Linked DNA regions of Nothobranchius furzeri. The protein of the gene in region 2 binds, or shares a complex with, the protein of the main gene of each other region. Links are inferred from orthologs where the notes say so. Each region holds a gene or a part of one and is shown on either strand. Other genes may lie near its edges.

Region 1 (11,222 bases), on a different chromosome or scaffold from region 2:
CCTTGGTCAGAGGAGCGCAGAGCGCGTGATGGGGAATGTCTGTTCAGGAGTGTGGCAAGATAGGGGGGAGCACCACCCTGGAAGAAACTGAAAACAAAGACCAGGAGTTTTAAGTGTGAACGATAACAGACCGGAAGCCAGTGCAGGGAGGCCAGAACCGGACTGATGTGGTCCCATTTCCTGGTCCCAGTCAGATACCTGGCTGCGCTGTTCTGCACAACCTGTAAGTGACGCAGTGATGACTGACACAACCCTGCATATAGAGAGTTGTAGTAATCAAGCCTAGAAATTACAAAAGCATGGAGTACCAGCTCCAGGTGGGCTCTCAACAGCATAGTCTTGATTTTTGCAAGGCGTCTCAGATGAAAGAAACTGGACCGGATCACAGAGTTGATGTGAGCATCAAATTTAAGTCCTGCGTCAATTTTCACCCCCAAACTGGTGACAACTGGTTTTAAATAGGGAGAAAGAGGGTCAAGATCAACATTGCGACCCGCAGCCCTGCTGTTGGGGTGAAAAACAATGAGCTCTATTTTTCCTTCATTTAGATGCAGATTGTTGGCCATTAGCCAAGACTTCACCTCATTAAGACAGGACACAAAGGACTGGATGGAGAGACCTTTCTCTTGACACGATGGAGAGTAAATCTGGCAATCGTCAGCATAAGATGGAACACTAGGCCATGTTTACAAAAGATTGACCCCAGAGGAAGCAGAAAAATGGCAAACAAAAGAGGACCAAGGATTGAGCCCTGCGGGACCCCCAATGGAGCCCCTCCCAAGAAGAAAAAACATCACCTAGTTTAACACAGAATGTCCTGTTGTGGAGATACGATCTAAACCAATCCAGAGCAGACCCTTTGATCCCAACCCATCGTTCCAAGTGATCAAGCAGAATCGTGTGGTCAACCGTGTAAAAAGCTGCCATCAGATTTAACAACAGAAGCACCACAAATGTATCCTGATCAAGTGATAGATAGATATCATTTAAGACCCTCAGTAGAGCCGACTCTGTGCTATGGCCAGACCTGAACCCTGATCGGAAAACCTCAAACAGATCAGAGTCAGCTAAATGTGAGACCCGCTGCTGATAAACAACTTTGGGGGTCTCCAAACAACTCTCAAAGATCTGAAAACAAATATTGTTCACCATCATGGTTCAGGGGAAAGATGCAGAAAGCTGTCTCAGAGACTTCAGCTTCTGTTTCCACAGTTAGGAACATACTGAGGAAATGGAAGGCTCAGTTCAAGTTAAGGCTTCAAGTGGCAGACCAAAATAAATCTCAGATAAACAAAAGCAAAGAATGGTGAGAACAGTCAGAGCATACCACCAGACCAGCACCAAAGACCTACAACATCATCTTACTGCAGATGGAGTCATTGTGCATTGTTCAGCTTCGCAGCACACTTTCTACAAGTATGTGAGAGTGATGCAGAGGAAGCCTTTTCTCTGCCCAAGGCATAAACAGAGCTGCTTGAAGTATGCTGAAGCACATTTGGACAAGCCAGCTTCATTTTGGAATAAGGTGCCGTCGACTGATGAAACTAAAATTGAGTTATTTGGGCATAACCAGGGTCATTATGCATAACCAGGGGCATTATACATGGAGGAAAAATAACACAGCATTCCAAAAAAAAAAAAAAAAAAACACCTGCTACCTACAGTAAAACATGGTGGTGGTTCCGTCATGCTGTGGGGCTGTGTGGCCAGTGCAAGGACTGGGAATCTTGTTAAAGCTGAGGGGCACATGGATTCCCCTCAATATCAGCAGATTCTGGAGATCAATGTCCAGGAATCAGTGACAAAGCTGAAGCTGCACCTGGGCTAGATCTTTCAAAAAGACAACAACCCTAAACACTGCTCAACATCTACTAAGGCATTCATGCAGAGGAACAAGTAGAATGTTCTGGAATGACCATCTCAGTCCCCAGACCTGAATATTATTGAAAATCTGTGGTGTGAGTTAAACAGAGCTGTCCATGCTCAGAAGCAATCAAACCTGAATGAACCAGAGATGTTTAGTAAAGAAGAATGGTCCAGAATACCTTCAGCCAAAATCCAGACTCTCATTGGAAGCTATAGGAAGCATTTAGAGGCAGTTATTTTTGCAAAAGGAGGGTCTAATAAATATTGAGTTAATTTCTTTTGTGTGTTGCAAAAATGTATGCACCTGCCTAATTTTGTTTTAAACAGTTATTGCACACTTTCTATAAAGCCTGTAAAGTTTATTTCACTTTTCAGAAAGCACTGTGTGTGTCTCCTATATGATTTTTTTTCATAACATTTTTATCATAACAACCAACAATTTATACAGGAAAAACATGAAGATTGACAAGGCTGGCCAAACGTTTGCGTCCCTTTGTATTTACATGTATAAGATGGCTTGCTATAAAATAAGTACTTTTGTTGCTGTCTCATACCTGGAAACTAAATTAGCCTGAGGTAGGGAATTGATTTTGCACTGTTAATGGGCAGTTTAGGCATGTGCAAAAATAGCTGTAAATAAAGAATGTTTTCAGACATAAATAATGATTGTTTGTTTTCATCAGTTTACAAAATGTAAAATGAGTCAACCCTAACAAACAAACAAACAAACAAAGTAATTAAGAACTATCTTCAGTGTAAAGAAGAACAAGCAGTCCTGGAAGCGATAGTGTGCCCCCACAGAGGCCTGATCTGGGATTAAATGAAGATACAGAAGGATGTAAGGAAGCCTACATCCACAGAAGATCTGTGGTTAGTTCTCCATGTTTGGGTCATTATTTTAATGACTTCTGACTTGACTTGATAAAATCTATAAAGACCTACGACTTGACTCGGACTTGAACGCCAATGACTTGCGACTTGAATTTACTTGCAGCTGTTGACTTGATGATGACTTGAGCATATTTGATATTTTAGCACAAAAGTGGCACGATGTGGACAAATATCATGAATCATTCTCCATTCTGGGTTTGATTTACTGCTAAATGCAGCAGCAATTTGTTTATAATCAGTTTGAGTTGCACTTTCTGCTTGTTTGAGCAAATAAATGAAGCTTTAAGAAGCTTTATTTCTGAAATTTATTTATTATCATGTCATTAAATTGAAGTTGGACAGATGACTTGATTATGACTTGAAAATTCAAAGTTAAGGACTCATACTTGACTTGGACTTCCACATTGTTGACTTTGGACTCGACTTGGGCTTTGGTGCCTTTGACTTGGACTTGACTCGAGACTTGTCTGGAAAGACTTGTGACTTACTTGTGACTTGCAAAGCAGTGACTTGGTCACACCTCTATAGATAGATAGATAGATAGATAGATGGATAGATGGATGGATGGATGGATGGATGGATGGATGGATGGATGGATGGATGGATGGATGGATGGATAGATAGATAGATAGATAGATAGATAGATAGATAGATAGATAGATAGATAGATAGATAGATAGATAGATAGATAGATAGATAGATAGTCTTGCAATAAAACAATTGATTTATATTTGTTCATGTATTGATTGAATGTATTTTGATTTTGTCATATTTGAAGAGGAAAAATAAACTTAAATTTATTGACAAAAGTGTGTGTCTGTTCTGCAGCTGCAAACCTTGTCACAGAAGCTGAGTTGGTTTGGAACCAGTAATGCCACCTATGCTACCACTCACCTGGAGGGTCTCTGTGGCAGACAGTGCGCATGCGCGGCTCCCTCCCCTCCTCGGTGCTTTTTCGGCTCCATCCGACTTCTTTTGGCTGCTGCTGTGAGTTCACTGTATTGTTAAGTGCTGCCGTGAATCGGTGGTGGAGGAGGGGGGGCTGAATGCCAAATCTCTCCCGATACATCTGGAGTGTCGACGATCCTAATTTAAGCACCCCGTATCTTTCGAGGGACGGAGTTTTATCTTTTTTTTATTATTAATTATTTATTCCAAATTTCTTAGTTTATGCTGTACACTCTGGGAGGGCAGAAATGGCGGCCAACATGTACCGGGTCGGAGGTATGTATGTCAGTGTGGATCATTTTATTAACTGACGGAAACGCTTTCGGGTTTGCATCTCCTGGGTGTTATTGTAAAATATTAATAACTTTGCATGTAACTGTAAGATGCGGCTGTGCTGCACTCCTGTGTAAGAGTTAGTTTGAAGCGGAAGGTGAGTGTTTTCTTAATATTTGGGCTTCAAAATGGGTCAGGCCTCGCGTCTGTCGTGGCCACCGCAGCTAGCCGCCAGCAGCTAGGTGGCTCGCTCATAATGTAAACATTTTTCTACCGTCGGCACCTTTAGCTTCTTTTGTGCAGTGTGAATACTTAGGCTGGCGACAGTGAGAAGTGTTACGTGGTAGTATCTCGCCACTAGACGTGTGTTTATACGGCTGTTCAAATCGTACCACGGCCAGTATGTGGCTGCCTTTGTATTTGCCTCTTCTGGCATGCAGCCATTAGTCTTATTTAGCTAACGTTAGCAGCAGCAGTGGCTTCATTGATTACCATTATCTCCTCGTCACCACTCGTTCATTAGCCACGCAGTGTCTGTACTCGTTTTGGTAGCATTAAAACACTACTTTTGTTCCTCAATGTACATATAAAGTTATCTAACGTGCAGTTTATCAGACAGTCTGGCTTTGCGGCTAGCTCGTTAGCAATCTCCTGGAATTCAACATCAAGTGATTGTCTTCATGGCGTCGCTGAGTATGGCAGGCCGTTGTAACATCTTTAATTACACACACCTTTAATCATTGTTCTATGTAATAATAATAGCATTGCTCCTGGTCAAAAATATATTGGCGCTGGTTGAAATAAGAGATAAAATACATTATCCAACATTTAAGACATTAAACTTGACTGTGGTGCAGATGTAATTAAAATTGACTGACTCCGTTAGAAAACTTAACATAAATGATAAATGTTTTGTATCCATTATCCAGAATGTCACCTCACTTTGGTTATTATGAATTGTTTTACCCATCTTTGTGTATTGGGCTAACAGTCTTCCTACCATGGAACATAATATTATCAGCAGACAACCTGCTTCTAGGATAGCACCAGTGTTGTCATGGCTAATTTAAATTTCACCTGTTTTATGTTAGAATACCATCCCATCAAAGATTAATAAATGCACTAAACATTTTGTTTACATTTGTGATTACATTGATAATGGATGTTATTGCAGGCTGCATGGTGGCACCATTGTCCCGCAGCAAGAAGGTTGCAGGTTCAAATCCCAGCTGCAGGTTTTCTACATGGAGTTTGCATGTTTTCCCTGTGCGTGTGTGGGTTTTTCCCTCCAGGTTCTCCAGTTTCCTCCTATAGACCAAAAACATGCAAAATTAGGTTAATTGGTCACTCGCTTTGGATTAAAGGTCTGCAGAATGCATCTACAAAAACATTTCAATTACGAATGCAGTAGCTTTTGACATGTAATAACGTGAATTTTATTTCTGTTTACTTAAAAATTGTGTCTGAAATAATTTTTTACCTTGGTTATTTGAAATTAATATTGTGATTACTTTTTAATAAATGGATTGTAGATATTTCAAAAAGAGATTTGCATTCTGGATGGGAAGAATGTCATTGTTTTTTTTCTGGTTCTGAAGGTCTAATGCATAATAATGGGGATTTTATGTTTTAGAAATAGTGTGAGACATCAAATATGTTATTTGTAGGTAGGAGGAATTACATTATGGATAGCTTAAATAAGAAGTTTGACTATGGAGAACTGAATTATGGGTGTTTTAAGTGTGACTTATAAAGAAGGATGAAACTTTACATCTATAGTAATACATACCTCACCTTTAAACTACTTTAGGTTTTTGAAATAGCCTAAATTTAATGGTTCATCACATATTACATCACCTGTATAGTTGTTCTTGTAATATTGATGTCACCTTTAAGTTCTGCAGTCTTCTGTATAAAACCCACCCCTAAACATGTCAAATTCAAGTTTTCCCAGCTAAAACATGAAATAACTAGTAGAATAATTAGAACGTTGCTTTGTGACTGAAACAGTTCATCCTAATGCAATTATTGCAAAAATAAAGACAAGCAATGCAGTTTAGCATTGATCAAACATCATCTGAGGTTTGTCCCACAGGAACATCTATCCATAGTGATCTGACGCAATATGTTTTGTTGTTGCAGATTATGTTTTCTTTGAAAACTCCTCAAGTAACCCTTACCTGATCCGTCGGATAGAAGAACTCAACAAGGTACTGCGTTGTTTGCTTGTGTCATTTATTTGGGTGTTTTTGCCTGAGGGTGAATAATTTGGATTCCTGCCTCCAACCCCCACCTAATGCCCCTGTGTTCATGGTTATTGTTTGAAATAGACAGGTGTTCCTTTGTTTCCTAACTGTCATTTTATCACTGCACACACCCATTTGGGTGTGGAATTGTGTTTGTGAGGTAATGACTGAAATGGGCATTTTTAAAAGTACATAATGTTGCAGTAAAACTGCCAAATGGGGATTCATTTTCAGCTTGTACCAGGTACAAAAGTGCTTGTGGTCTCATAAGGTTTTTATGTTGTTGCTAATATTAAGCCACATCTAGATATTCATGTTTTGACCTATAGGTTAAGAATTTGTTACTTATGTCTCTGAATAGCAGACCAAAATAGTCAAAGTACAGACCTGCCAACCTGTACGCATTTTGTGTAGCAAGTATGCAACCCCTCTAAACTACGCAAAAAGCTGAAGACACGTGCGTTCTGAAGCAATTACGCATGTGATACTCATGTCTGACAACACAACTCAGCAGCGTGGTGAAGACGTTTAAACCAATCATCGTAGAAAGCGGAGGAAAGAAAATTGTGCCTAATCTATAGAGTAACACCCCCCCCCCCCCCCCCCCTCCCTCCGTTCTTTATTCTGTGTCCTGCCTGCTGTTTGCCTCTCCGTCTTCCGATTCCCACTCGATGCTGTTCTGGCATTTAAAAAAGTAAACTGTGTGTGTGTGTGTGTGTGTGTGTGTGTGTGTGTGTGTGTGTGTGTGTGTGTGTGTGTGTGTCAGCAGACTGGAATGGGACCAGCCATCTCTTGGTGAATGTGAACCGTTACACGTAACGTTACTTTCACCGTTGAAAAAAATTTGAGCCGAAATCTAAGTGGGGAAAAAAAAGAGAGAGGCGACTGTGTGTGTGTGTGTGTGTGTGTGTGTGTGTGTACTTTTGCCTTTGTATGTATCCATTGCAGATAGATTTGGCCTGTATATAAGGAGGAATGTGATAATTTATACTGTTTAAACATTTAGACAACAAATTTTGCAGCACAATTTGCAACCCATGCTATGGCAGATGAGGGAGAAGCAGACAGGGAGGGACTGGTTAGCAGACCTGCCAAAAAGAAGACCGTCCATGTCTCTAAGAAGTTTTTGCCTAAATATCAAGAACAGTGGCCATGTTTCGACCCAGTCTAAACTACCTCATCATGCATTTTGCTCATTCTGCAATTATAATGTGGACATAAGCCACCAGGGAGCTGCAGGTAATGTATAAATTAGCCCCAGTGATGATATGTGCTCTAAGCCAATTTAATATTACATTCTTGAAAACAAAAACTCCTATTTCCATGTACGAAATATATTACCATTAAATAATATTTAAAAATTGTTTTTATTAATTTTGATTAAATATTGAAATATTTCAGTGCAGTTAACTTGTGGCTATCACCTTGTATAAGCACACATATTAAATAGGAAAGCAAGCACAACTTTTACCTTTTACTGTTTATTATTAAAATACATGATTTTTTTTGGACTATTCAAGAAAATTTATCCAGACAGTGAAGTAGCCAAACAATATGAGTGTTGTATTTTTTTTATCATATAGTAATTTTCCAGCAAGAGAAAGGGGAAAGTAATGGAGTTGAAAAAAATCTGCGAAAACATGCCACAGAAGTGGTACTCAAAAATTTTGATAAGGTCGGCAGGTCCGAAAATAGCATGGTTTAGCCATGTGTAGCATGTAACATTTCTAATACTCTTCCTGCATTGTACTTGTGCTAAGACGTCAGAGAAATCTTACTCATCATATTTGAGATGGTGCCAACCCAGGGCTGCATTGTCATAAAAAAGGCAGAATAATGGGAAACAGGCAACACGATACAGAGAATACAGTCAGTTCTACCTGACCCTCAGCAAAATGCAGGCTGCGTGTTGTTTATATTAGTCGGATAAGCTGCAAAGAACCAGAAGTCATTAGCAGTTGATGTTTGGCCGTGTTTCATTGTGATTATGGTAGCGTAAATCTTTAGTGCTCATAAAAATAGTGGGAAAATGACTGGCGTTGCCTGCAACTTTCCTAAACAGCAGCAGGATATGAAGACTGCTAGTCCTATTTACCCTCAGAGCCATGACATTTAATAACTCGGTTTGAGTGTGTTAACGAGTTAAAAAGCATGACGGTAAATCAATCATCTCTTTAGAAAACACTGGTCAGCTTGTCTCAGAGGCAGAGCTCGATAGCTATACAAAGGAGCCGGCTCTCAGGGGAAATCTGAGTTTTGAGCATAAAGGTGTTTTCCACTTCTTTTTTGTCAGCATGGATCTATCTCCTCTATGTTTCAGACCGCCAGTGGGAATGTTGAGGCCAAAGTGGTTTGTTTTTACAGAAGGAGAGACATCTCTCACAGCCTCATCCAGCTCGCAGATAAACATGCAAGTAAGTGCTAACCCCTTTTTCTTTTATCACACTTTTAGTTTATGAAGGAAAGTTACTGTCTCTTTTAGGATTTATTATTTAGAAATCAACTTGAGCAAAAACATAAAATAATCAGATCAGTGTTGAGTTTTTGTTTGGTTTAATAATTGTTGGAAGTACTTCCTTTTGTTTTGGGTGAGAATCTTTAGTCCCTGACAAGCAACTTAAACAAATCAAGGGCAGAAATAGTTGCTTTTAGATCTTATATTAAACATTAATGTGAAAAATGTGTTTAAATTAGCGACGCACCCATACGAGTGGTGATGGGCATCAGTCAGTATTCAGCTCAAACGTCGTAGTCTTTTCCCCGAATCTGCCAGTGCATCAGTGCCAAGCAGCAGTCACTGGTGTGTGTTCTCGGCTAATGTCCTCTGTTGATAATAGTCCTTCACCCATTAGAATTGGCCCACATCTGTTTCTGCAGGCCAGACCTGCACAAGAATCAGGAGATCAGTATGGACCAAAATCTGTGCCTCTTTAGAGAAAACGCAACAAACATGCTATTAGGAGTCAGAATCAGTTACTTGTTTATTGCTTTATTTTGATAAATAACAGTTGCAAATGAACCAGTTCATTGTCGTTATTTTTTGATCTTGGAAGATTTTTTTTTTTTTACAATCGTCATAAAATAGTTTTCAGCTGCATTTGAGAGGCAGAGGAACCCCCCCTCCCGAGCCCTGTTGGGTACCAGTCAGGCAGACATTTCAGTCAGCAGAGTTTCTGCACGACAACGTTTACCGCAAGTTAAACCTATTTGGGGTTGACCGCAGAGCAGCTTTTTTCATGACTGCTGTTTCTGGAGATGGTCGAGGCTAAACACAGCTAGGATTTTTAATGCAGAAGATAATAAGTCACAGTTGTTATTGCTATTTCTCAGGTGTCATTACTAGGGAGGGGTTTATAGTGTGAGCAGTAGGGATGTGAATCTTAGAGCAACTCATGATTTGATTCCATTCCGATTCTCTAGGTGTTGATTCGATTCAGAATCGATTCTCGATTTAAATCAATTCACAGTCAATGTTAACAAAGAGTGTCAGTTCTAGGATTAACTACTTTGATGTACAAGTTAGTTAAAGCTATGGGACATTTTTTATTTTACTTTAAACTGGTCATGCTCAAAAAATGCAAATTTACAAGATAAACTAAAGTGATTCTAAACAGAAGCAATCTTTTGACCAAAAGGCAACATTTATTTTTGCTTACCTTGTAAAATATAACTAATCTTTAGTTACCTAACAGTAGCTTTGAAAGTAATACGGACAAATACTTTTCAAGTATGTGTGGAAACAAGTTAAACATTTGAGTCCTCAACCTGTTTAAAAAAGTGCCTCAGATTTCTTACAAAGGAAGATGTGTTCTCTCATTTATCAATAACTTCAAATAAATACTTGAGTAATCCTGAGTATTCACTTATCAACTTTAGGGTTGTCACGGTGTGAAAATTTAACTTCACGGTTATTGTGACCAAAATTACCACGGTTTTCGGTATTATCGCAGTATTTTTTTTAAACGTGCTACATTTTCACATGTATGTATGTCAGGAAATATTGTCCTCAGTTTGTGTAAAATTTTCCCAAAAATGTGTTATTTTGTAATTATGTTGTTTATTTGTTTACATTTTTCCCTTTAGTCTTTAAAATACAATATTTGCCCATAACTTCTCATTTTTTGTCTGTTTGATGTCATCATTTTAAAAATATTAGATCAGATGATACTCAGTACTCAAGTAGCCTTCTAATCAGATACTTTTTTACCCTTACTTGAGTAATAAACCCTATATCAGGAAAATATTGTCCTCGTTTTGTGTCCTTCCAGTGAGCTTTGCAGATTTGGGAAAATGTCATAAATGTATAATTATTCTTGGAGAGAGGCCAACTCTTATCTGCCCCTGGGAGCCCCGTAATGCATGGCATCATTTCAACATGGGGGTGTCCGCGACACAGTTTATATGCAGGTAGCGGCGCTGCGGCTGCTTTATATAGCGACTCGTTGCATTCTCCCTCAACCCAAATCCTCGGATCACGCATTTTAGCTAAAACGCTAACGTTAACTTGCCTTGCGTTGACTGTAGAGTTGTGGGTGATGGTCACGCAGATGTGTCATGAGATTTGAAGCGCTGCTGCCTTTCAGACACTTTTTCTGCACGTGCTGCAAACAGGATAGCCGTCTTCTATCAACTGTCCCTTGGCATTCTTCAAATATCCAAAACATGCCCATACTTCCCACTTTGTTTTCTTTGAGGGATAATTAATGTCCTGAGCGCTGCCGTCTCCTTTGGCCATTATTTCAGCTTTAGCTTCAAGAAAGTTTTGGTTGTAAACAACAAAGTGCGCATGTGCCGCCGGCAACTTCAGCAGATGATACAGTGGCTGGTAAGGGTCACCGCGCCTACACCGCAGCCACGGTACTCCACCGAGATAATATATATTTTTTAAAAACAAGACGGTTTATTATTATTGTCAACTTTTTTACCGGGGTTTACCGCTACACCGGTTACCATGACAACCCTAATCAACTTAGAAAATAAATATGAGAATATCTCAAA
Region 2 (11,253 bases):
AATCTTTCATCTGTTTATAAAATTTTATGACTATTTTTCTGACGTTATCTGATTATGTTTTGAGAGCATTTTGATGTTATGATGTTAATCTATTTATGATTTTATGACTTTGTTTTATTTTGTTTTGATCTTTGTGAATCACATCGTGACTATGTCTGTGATAAGTGCTATATAAATAAAATTTACTTCCTTACTTCCTGAATGTTTTACAACGAACACCCGAGACTCTAACAAACGCATACATTTGTAAATGATTATCATAAATAACAGGGGCAAGAATCTGGCAATAGAATATATAATACAGGGAGACGATACGATATAATGCAATACTAAAACCCAGACAACGTTTGCAATTTTTAAGATCGAGTTTAATCTAAAAACTCAGGACAGAAGCTTCCAAGACACATCCAGATTTATGGTTTCAGAGTCACAATAGATAGTTTTTGAAACTTTAGGCTATGTTTATGTTTATGTTTATGTGCTTAGCAGACGCTTTTACCCAAAACGACTTACAATTTATTTATTTTTTTAACCTATAGGGCATGTTGTGATCTGTGGGGGAAACCGGAGTACCCGGAGAAAACCCACGCATGCATGGGGAGAACACGCAACTCCACGCAGAAAGGCGAGTTTTGAACCTGCGACCTTCGTGCTGCGAGGCAACAGTGCTAACCACTGCGCCACCATGCAGCCACCATGCAGGCTAGAGCTTTAACGTTAAGGTCAGTTATTGTTGGGTTAGAAACTTGAACATTTTCATATTTAGCACCACTCTGCAGCCCTCTGCTGACCAAAAAACTGCACTTGATAGTTTTGTGGGGCAGGTAGGTGCCCTAAAGGGGCACTCTTTACCTGCTTGTTTGCTGCAATGCTAGTGGTTAGCATTTTTAGTTCGCTGACCGTCAATAAAAAGCACAAGAAGAACAAGAAGCCTGGAGATAAATGAACGAGAGTAATTTCTGTGGAGGGAAAGCATAGGCACAGCCTACGCTAGCTTGAGGGAGCTAAAGGAGGCTACAAAATCACGGACTGATGGTGACCTGGCTTTGTTGCTACTGGACATGTAAGTTATATTATTTGTTATTTAATAGGATGGATCTTTTAACTTTGTGGTTTATTTAGTATTATTAGCTGGCTCATGTTAGTGTTAGCTCGCTGTTAGCACTAGCTACAGCAGGCTGCAGCAGGGTTGTTTGTAATTGCACTTTTAACCAGTGGGACAGAGGAGCAGGAAACTGCTTACAGTTACTTTCAGAGCTCTTTGTTCCTTTAGAGCGAAGATGGTAAAAACTGCTGCTACCTGAAACATTTCAGTGCATCGATATCTTCTAAATCCCAGATAAATTACATTTTTACTCATTTTAGTTCAGAGATGAACTCATTGTCACGATGTAAGCCAGGAGGAGGTTAGGACCCAAGATGCAGACCCAGGATGATGCAAGGCAGGAGTAGTGAAAGCGTAAAATCCTTTATTAGGAATAATTGTCCAAAAGTAAAATCCAAAAGGGCAGGAACCCAAAAACCGTAATACAAAAATCCTAAAGTGCAAACCTAGAGACCATGAGAGGGAACTGAGACAACGCTGACACAAACAATGGACTGACAACACAGTGAGACGCAGACAGGGTTATGTACACAGGGGCTGGGTGATTAAGGGAATTGGACACAGGTGAGACTAATAACAGAGATGGGGAGCAGAACGGAGCAGGGGAGGAAACCAGACCTAACTGGGGAAGGAAGCAAAAATGAACCAAAGGGAGATACTGACTATATGATCCAAACATGACGGAAACCTAATGATAAGTGGGGTGACTGAAGGGAAACGTGAGGGAAACCTAGAGAGAACCTGGAGTGGGCTGGGGAACACAAGGAGGCACATGAGGAACACAAGGAGACACATAAGGGGGATGCAGAACAGGAGTGTAGGAAAGCAGAACGAAAGCGGAAAAAGGAAAAACTGCACGTATCTCTGAGGATGCTACGTGACAGTCTAACAAAATATCAGGAAGCATGAAGGATGTACATGTCAGTCTTTCTTCTGGGATCTCCACAGATGCTCACTCTAGGATTTTGTTTAAGCCACTGTCTCTGTTTGAAATCCTGGTTCTGCTGCTCCTGGATTTGTGCTGGGTCCTGTTCGTGACTTCTTGGATTTTTTTATTGAGAATGTGTAATCTCTCTGTTAATGTAGGTTTAGTTTTATTTTCTTTACCTGATGCTACATTTAATGAGTTTACACCAGCCTCTCTTTTACTGACCTGGTCATTCCTGCCAAAATGATGAAGCAGATGTTCACTGTTATTGGAAATTTGCTGCTCACTGCCTGTCTAAGATCGGGAATTGTCCCAGCTGCATTCAAACATGCTGTCATCAGACCGCTTTAAAATACACACTATTTGGACCCCTCTGTTCTATTTATAGACCAGTCTCACATCCATCGTATTTATCAAAGGCTTTGGAGAAAATCGTTCCACTGCAGCCATTTTTGGAAGAGAATTCCATCCTTGAAATTTCTCAATCCAGATTTAGATCTAGACATAGCACAGAAGCAGCCTTACTAAAGGTCCATAATAACCTAATGTTGTTGATGGGTCTTCCTATTGCTCTGGCCCTGCTGGGTCTCATGGCAGCATTAGACACAATAGATCAATAAATTCTCATCTCTCATTTAGAAAATGTAGGAACTTGTAGCACTGCATTAACCTGGTTCAGATCCTTTTTGTCCAGCAGAAGTTTCTGTGTCATGTAGGTAACACCTATTCATCCAGGACGAGCCTCCCATTTGGCGTACCCCAAGAATCTGTTTTAGGGCCTACACTTTTCTCCCTATACATGCTGCCGCTTGGAAATGTCCTTAAAAGACATAATCTGTCTTTCCATTGTTATGCTGATGATGTCCGAGTTTATCTGCCAGTAAAGTCCAGACATTGTGCTACAACTTCCTTACCACACTGCATGCATGACATAAAGCTTTGGTTGTCAGAAAACTTCTTACACTTCAATAATGACAAAAAACCGAGTGTTTTCTTTTTTCCAAACATGCAAAAGGTCACACTGTCAGACTTAGGATTTTTTACATCGAGTTTTAAACATCACATCAGAAATTCGGGGGGTCATATTTGACTTGGTTGTCAAAACTAGCTTCTGTCAGCTGAGCTCTGTGTTTTAGCTAAAGTACAACCATTTCCACGTTCTAAATTGTTTTAAACTGGCTCTTTTTACTGTGGTTTTTAAATAGTTTTATTGTAATTTTTATTTTATTTTTTCCATATTAAATGTGAAGCGCTTTGGTCACCCTCTGGGATGTGTAGAGCGCTATTTAAATAAACATTCATTCATTCATCTCACACAATATTAAAATGTCCTGGGTAACCTGTGAAAAACTATTGTCTAACACAAACACAAACAAACAAACAACGGCTATTCAGAGATCCACACCAGTTAGTGTCTTTTATTCTGGGTTGTAATCTGGTAATAATTTTAAAAAAGAAATGGTCCGGTTCTTCAATCAATCAATCAAAGCTTTATTTATAAATCGCCTTCCGCGACCCTGTCGGGAAGCCCAAGGCACTGAAGAGGGGTTTAACATTTACATTGAACGCATCTTTTTATTTAACAACTGATGATGACTATGCAGAGTTTTTGGAAGGAAATATCTTAACTACCCTTTAATCTGTCAGGTTGCCTTAGGGGGGGAAAGCTACAAGGAGAGAAAAGGTTTTGATTAGAGAGTGGACCTGATTGTGCCAGGTGTTGGACAGAAAAGACGGTTGCTCTGTCATTTGCCCGGGGGACGTCTGGCACCACTTCGGGTTGGGAAGACGACCAAAGCTTCACTCGCCAAACCGTTTCTCTGTAAAATGTGAATGGATGACAAACACACTGGTGACCTTCCAGCAGGGGCTTGGGATGCAGACTGACCCATTCAAATGAGATTCCCACCTCTCTGGGGTAAGGAGGCCGGAGTGTGTTAGGAAGCTCATTTATGACTGACAGCTCCACTTTCTTATTAATAAAAACAGCTGGAAAATAACTATTTTTAATAGGTAAATATCAGATGTCTTTAGGCAAAGCTGTTATTAGAACATAAATTCATCAAACTGGTGGAAGGATAAAGCCCGAGTTAAGTCTAGTTTCAGACGGGAGGGAAAAAAAGCTTGAAATACTGTATACACACACACACACACGCGCACACACAAAGACAGTCTTTTGCTTAGGCTACGCGCACGTACAGCAGAAAAATTGTGTCAACTTTCACAATGAGGGATCCAAAAATAGTCCCTCGTCCAACCGAGGACAACATTTGCAGGCAACACAAAAGCCTGTGATAATCTTTTAATTTGAGGAGAGAACTGAGCAAATAAAACAGAAACGTAACAAAACACAGTGACACGTTTAAGCTTCTCGAGTAACACAGAAGAACTTAGGCCAGGCCAAGTGCTAAGACAAGTAAAAGCTTTGATACGAAAGTGTCTGTGGCTCGAAGTCCCAACAGAGGTTTGTCTGAGATTCTTGACATGGTCGGAATTTAAAATGCTTCTTAATGGAAGTGAATTAACTTAGAATCACTTCTTGTTTTAGATGCATGATGGATTGGAAGCACTGAAGCGTTTTTATGAATCGTTGTCACATTTAGTTGCAAGCATTCTTCCTAATCTCTGCAGGAACTCTATTAAACTGTGCACCACCTACAGAGGTTATTGGGTTTATGAATACTAAATTAGCATTACCCTTTAAGCGTTGGTGAATTGAGTGGTTATATGTAGACAAATAATAAACAAATGAAAGCTTTTATCCTCAGATTTGACCTCTCTCTCCACGTAAAACCAAAGCGTTCTGTGGGCTTGAGTGAAATCATAAATATTTCTATTTGAAATGGTGTAACCTTGAGTCAGTTTTATGTGAAGCCATCTTGTGCAGAAATGTCACTGGAATTTTCCATTGTCAACTTTTTCACTTTCCGTCCATTTCATACCACCAAAACTTGGTTTTCCCCAACATTTGAAATGAAGCTGCATTGTATCAATTTCCCTCTGGGATTAATAAAGTATTTTTGAATTGAATTGAATATGAAACATTGTTTGTAGAGTTCAAAGCGCGATGCATACGTGAAATCAATGAAAGCTGGTATTACACCGGCTTTTACCACAGGTGCTTAGCAACAATCAGCCACTTGATCACCTTTACCCTATAACACTGGAGCAAGAAGCATGTAATTGTTTAGGACAGGAAGAGCGACCCAGAAGTCCTCTTCTGGTCCTCGGAGTAGATTTACGCGGGCCAGATTTCTTTTCATGGATGGTTGATTTTTGTCTCTCTAGTAGGGCTAAACGATATAGAAAAAATCATATTGATCAATATCAATAATTATTGAAAACTATATGAAAATATCACACATAGTTTAAGTGCAGCCCTGGCCATCTTAAATCCTTACTTTATGATAAAACAAGTCGGTTGCATCACCAGACTTGTTTTTTATCGATTCTCTGTTGCAAACCACCATTTTTTGTCCACGGCACAAAACATGCAGAATTAAAAAATAGCGTTTTTAGCCCCATTGACTTGCACTCATTTTTTTCCTTCTTCCGCGGACTCATGGTCCGGAAGTAGATGGGCGGGACTTAAGCTCCCTAAGGTGGTGTGTGTGTCTCTACCCCCCCCCCCCCCCCCCCCCAGGCAGAGAAGTATAAATTAGGCTTTAGGGAAATATACATTATGAAAGATTTTCCTAGGCTCATAGTGCAGGGTCAGTCTAACTAAAACATTTTTAAGTTACTTTAGAATTTTTAAACTATACATCCCAGCTTTAACTTGACCTTTCTGGCCATTGTCTTAAAAAGTTAAGACACTTCCGGTTTAGGACATGACTGGAACAGTCGCACTTAGAGCATCACAGGCCACACTGGGAACTTTGCCTTCCTAACAGTTCCTGACTGATTAGACCTGAAACTCATTAAAGAGGAGTGCATAGGCCCATATAACACAGCTCCTACGTTAAGGGGCATAGGCATTGTATTTGCAGTAACAAGAGAAATGGAAGAAATCTGGCTTGTGTGCAGCTGTCATGAGACCAGAACAGGGCTGCATCACAGAACATGGAGGTAGAGTGAATGTGGGGTATTGCACAACCTAGAGCAGGTGACAGGCTGTTCCTGGAGCCCACACGTGGCTTTCGCACCTCTGCGGTCATGCAATGCAACAAAATAAATTAATTAATAAAGTTCGAGCAGCTTCCTGGTCACAAAAGAGACATGGATGGCCTGAAGCCTGACAGAACACAGGAGCCTGCAGCCGGGTTTCCATGATGTCCCTAAAGCCGGCTGGATGTGAGGACAGCCGGAGGCAAAGCCAACATCACGTCAGCCTTCCAGACACCAGGTCGTGGAACAAGACGGGGAGAGTAAAAGGAATGACTGCTTATTGCACCTCCTCCTCCTCCTCCGTGGTATCGGGAGCGCAGGACAAGCCCTTTTCCCCGCATTCAAGGCGTAACGGCGCAAACCCATCTGAAGGACACCCCGCCTCCCGGATCCCTCACCTGGCACGTCGTCTTCAAAATCCATGTCGTCCTGTCCCTCGTCCTCATTACTCAGCGAGCCCGGCATCTTTATCTCATAGCCCCCAAAGCCCCTTTTAGGCTGGGAAAACTGGAAGTTAACCCTCCAGACGCCGCAGCCCAGCCGCTCTTCAGCCAATAACAACTCTCTGTTCACCGCTGCCGGGATTTCTTTAATTTGCAGCGAAAATAATAGAAAAATCTTCCCTTTAGATCAAAAATATACATGTAGAAAAATGAACATTAGGAAGGTTTCCACAGATCCCTATCCAGGTCTCGCAGTCTGAAAAATAAGAAAGACAAAAATGGAACACACATGCCCAGATTGTGACGTCTGGTCTGTTGCCATGACGATACATCCCATAGTTTCACCCATCAACTAGTTAGTCGCACGCTAGTTAATATTTTAACTAGTAGTGTTAAAATCAATCACAGCTGCGCGTCTCGTGCTGCAGCGGGAGAATCCGGACGCTTCCGCACAGGAAGTCTGAAGAATGGAGACGGAAACTTGTCCCGAACAGCCAGAGAGCTGCGTGGAGGGCTGAGACCTCACGCATCTCTGCTGGAGACAGGAGCCCGTCCTTATGAAACACATGGGTTACAATTCTGGTTCATTAACGCCACAAAGGTGCAGCTGATTAATCCCACATGATGACTTCCGGTGATCTGTTGCCAAGGTTACCACAGATGTAAAACAGGACAATGAAGCGCAGTTCATTTCTGTGCATCAGAACAACTTCCATTTACATATCTGACTTCCAGTTATTTGGTTTTCCAGCTTTTCCTGTTTTTCTGAAACTATTTAAATGCTGTTGATTCATAATTAAGACAAAAACTAAAGTACGACCTCTATAGTACGACCTTACAGGGAACTGATGTGCAACACAAAACAGAAGAAAAACAACAAAGACAGACTTTTTTCTTTTGTTTCGTGATTTTTATTAAGAGTATTGCTAGGTTTAATCTTCATCCTCCTCTTCCTCATCCTGGTTGATCTGGAAGTAGCGCAGCTCGTAGCTCTCCTTGGTGTTGGCCACAACCCGCAGCCAGTCCCTGAGGTTGTTCTTCTTCAGATACTTCTTGGTCAGATACTTTAAATACCTGAAAAAGAAAAAAAAGATGGAGGAGACAGGTGAGACGAGGTGGGACAGGATGTCTCGTCTTCACGGGAACAGTAATGTTTCATGTTATTTACTGGAATTGAGCCAGTGTGGTCGTAGCTTGAGCTTCCAGGGTTAGTATCTGATGTGTGTGGCGTGTGTGTGTGTGTGTGTGTGTGTGTGGGGGGGGGGGGGGGGGGGGGGGGGAGTAGTATGCAAAATGTAATAAAAATGTAAGACACCTCAGGAAAAAGCTCCACACTACAGTGGGAGCTAACGAGGTTCTCACTAAGTGAATAAGAATTAAATCTCTGATAACGTGCTCTGACTTTATTGGCTTACATATAAACAAGCTGTACATGCATAAAAAGCCATTCAAGTATTTTTACTATATTAATTTAGAAGGACAGATGACATTTATCTGGCATCAAGGTTGGTTGGAGCACCACCAGACTTCTTCTGGAGATTATTGAAGAACTTCATTGGCTAATGTCGCCCTCTGGTGGTGATGTTCTCATGTGGCGCTCTCTATTTTGGACTTGAAGCAAACACCAAAACTAGGTTTGATGTCTACCAACATTACTGAAACATCTTCTTTTACACCTAAAGAAGTTACACCAAATCAAACATCAATATCTTTATATTTGAGAAAAACGTTTCACTTGAACAAAACCTAAATAAGACTTGAAGCCCTTCTAATTTAAGGTCTTTAAACATGCTTTGCATCAAATAATCTAAAACTATATTTGTTTACAGCTGTTTATTACATCCTCTGACCCAACCTTTTCCCTTGAGGAGATGCTTATCAAACCCTAACTTCTACCCACATAAACACAATAAAAAGGGATTCATTTAGACAGACAGGTGTGACAGGATGAGCGTCCTGTCACAGTATCCCGATTGATCATGCGCTCTGGCTACTTGGCCAAGGGGATGTCACTTTAGCTGACTGGTAGGCACACGTGACTCTCACCCGGCGGTCTGGGGATCGAATCCCGCCCGGGCCCTCATTTCTCCACCTCGCCACACAGGGCAATAACTCATACCCAGCTTTAACTATAATATCAGGTGTGTTATCAGGATTTCATGAATGTATTCTTAACAAATACGATTTTGGCAATCTCACAACCTCCGCTTAGGACAATTTTGGTCACTGGCCCGAGGTTGGGAACTACTGTTCTGACGAACATACCCTCACACTGGATATGCTATTTGTCCCCCTCCACACATAGGATCGTTTTGGTCTGGTAGCATCACCTGAGGATATTGTTGTGAATCGGTGACTTTAGAGGGTTTACCACCCAGCTGAGAAGGTGACTAGCTGGGTGGCGTCTTCAGGTGGGAAAATGACAAACTAATGCAGTCACTGAGCAGTAAATACAAATATGATCAAAACCAAACGGGTAATTTCCAGTCGTTATGACTCTATTGCACATTTATGTTGCCAGTTGGCTGCTAACTTAGACTGTCCTCATAGATTGTCCCTAATTTAAGGTGGCACCACATCCTGTTCACAAACACTTCACCGTCCGTTTAACTGAAACCATTTCCTTGCACCGAGCATATTGCAAAGAAATGGGCTCACTGAGGTACACAAGACATTTCTGACACCAGGTATTATATTTCATGTTGTACCTCTTGGAGAAGGGCACTTCTGAGTTCACAGCGATTTTACTCTTGCTCCTCTCAATGGACACAACGCCACCACCCAGGTTTCCAGCTTTGCCGTTCACCTTAATGCGCTCCTGCAGGTACTGCTCCTGTTTGAGGACATCACACCACAGCAGGACTTGAACATAACTTCATGGCACGCATGCTTTTCTAAGTGAAACGATCTACTGTGATCTGAACACGTTTCCTATTGATGTGGATGTGATTAAAATGACGATACATCAAAATCATCTCTGTTTCTATGCTGATTACAGCATCCAGAAATATTTGGTTTGATCCATAAAACTGACACTTTACTGTTTATGTATTCCAGCTGCTGTCATTTGTGTCTGAAGGATACTTACAAAGTTGGCAGCATCCATAATGCCATCCTCCACAGGATGAGTGCAGTCCAGGGTGAACTTCAGGATCTGCTTCTTCTTCTTCCCACCTGGTTTCCTGAACACCTGCTGCTTCTTCTACAACACAAACACAAGAAGCTCAAACGTGAACTTGAACCAAAACCAAAAAAAAGAATCACCTTAGAATAACGAAACCAGCCCGGACTGGAAACCATCGGATAAAAACACGATGACAAGTTCGCACAAATGGGCAGGGAACGTGACCCCGAGTCGGAATTTCACTACTTAAAACAAAACTCTTGAAACAACTGAAAACACCCGTTTACTCCGTTGCGAGCTTCAGCTAGCTAACATTAGCGCTCGCGGCTAGCTCTGCGTGTTTTGGACCAACTACTGGAAGTACAGTCAGGTACGACGCCAGAACAGCATTTCTTATTTTACTGTGCTCCGGGTTTATACTCGGCTGTGGGTGGCTAATACAAGCTAAGCTGCGTTGTCTGTGTGCGCTTTATTTAGTCGTTTGACTACTCACTATGGGTGCCATGGCAGACACGCTCAGCAAAAAGGAAAGAGCTTCCGCTCTGCGCAGGAAGTACAATACCCACCTGCTAAATCGATTGGATCAAGCTATCTGGGGTTGATTATACAACCTATTCCCATGCCTTGTAGTCATGGGAATTCTGGCTCTTTTTAGAGAGCCGATTCTTTTGGCTCAGCTCACCAAAAAAAGCCGGCTCTTTCGGCTCCCAAGTGGCTCCTCAGATTTTCTGTTGTGTAGAGTACATTTATAACCAAAATAATGCAAAACTATATGCAAAATGATGTACTAATGTAAAAAAATGCTATATATCAAATATTTATCATTTCTATGGATTTAATAACTGAACACTTTCAGAAATCTCCACTTTCCGACTGCTGGCGCTCATTTTCTCACCGTCTTCGTTGCACTCTCCTCTCTCTCTCTCTCTCTCGCCTTTGTCCTCCTCCTCATTCCCTCTCGTCTCCCTCCGCCCGCATGTGCTCTGCTGTGTGTCTGAGTCTGATCCTCCCTCTTCCTCGCCCCTACTGCTCTGTGTGTGGACAGTCTGGACACGCAGTTACACATGCTGACCAATCAATCGCCTGTGGCTTTCACCAAAGCAAAAGGGGAGGGGGGAGGGGACGGCTCCCAATGACGAGCCGGCTCCCGTCGTTCACTTCAAAGAGCCGGCTCTTAGAGCCGGTTCGTTCGTGACCGACACATCACTAATGCCTTGGCTGTGCCGAAACGTTCTTATTATGAGAAATACCAAAATGATAATGGGAGACATTTATGACAGGATAAAGGTAACACGTAGCGGTGAGCCAGTGGGGATTTTGATTATCCACAAACTCTCCTTAAAATGTGATTGTTGTAGAAGTTTCTGAAGATATTATCTGCCCTGTTAACATGTGTTAATTACATTTCACCACTATTTTAGTGGATGGCAGTTCTCTAGTTCCTTATTTATTCCATGATTTTTCCTAAATAGCCCAAGGTACAATGAGTTTATGGCATCAGAAATAGGACAGGTGCATCATTCCAAACCCTGACAACAAAATTAAA

What was found.
Region 1: chd5 (region 2) and mta3 share a complex: the UniProt entries of both Homo sapiens proteins name them as parts of the nucleosome remodeling and deacetylase (NuRD) repressor complex. The link is inferred for Nothobranchius furzeri from reciprocal best matches to the Homo sapiens genes CHD5 and MTA3.

The regions. Positions count from the first base shown.
Region 1 is NC_091756.1:43,841,879-43,853,100, forward strand, and holds the start of mta3 (metastasis-associated protein MTA3), read left to right. Parts: upstream 1-3,772; 5' UTR 3,773-3,953; coding exon 3,954-3,981; intron 3,982-6,120; coding exon 6,121-6,188; intron 6,189-8,544; coding exon 8,545-8,638; intron 8,639-11,222. UniProt on the Homo sapiens protein: Acts as a component of the histone deacetylase NuRD complex which participates in the remodeling of chromatin.
Region 2 is NC_091743.1:75,277,293-75,288,545, reverse strand, and holds the start of chd5 (chromodomain-helicase-DNA-binding protein 5), read right to left. Parts: upstream 7,349-11,253; 5' UTR 6,606-7,348; coding exon 6,539-6,605; intron 1-6,538. Other genes in the region: rpl22 (large ribosomal subunit protein eL22), read right to left, coding at 7,516-7,657, 9,292-9,416, 9,672-9,785, 9,848-9,883. UniProt on the Homo sapiens protein: ATP-dependent chromatin-remodeling factor that binds DNA through histones and regulates gene transcription. May specifically recognize and bind trimethylated 'Lys-27' (H3K27me3) and non-methylated 'Lys-4' of histone H3.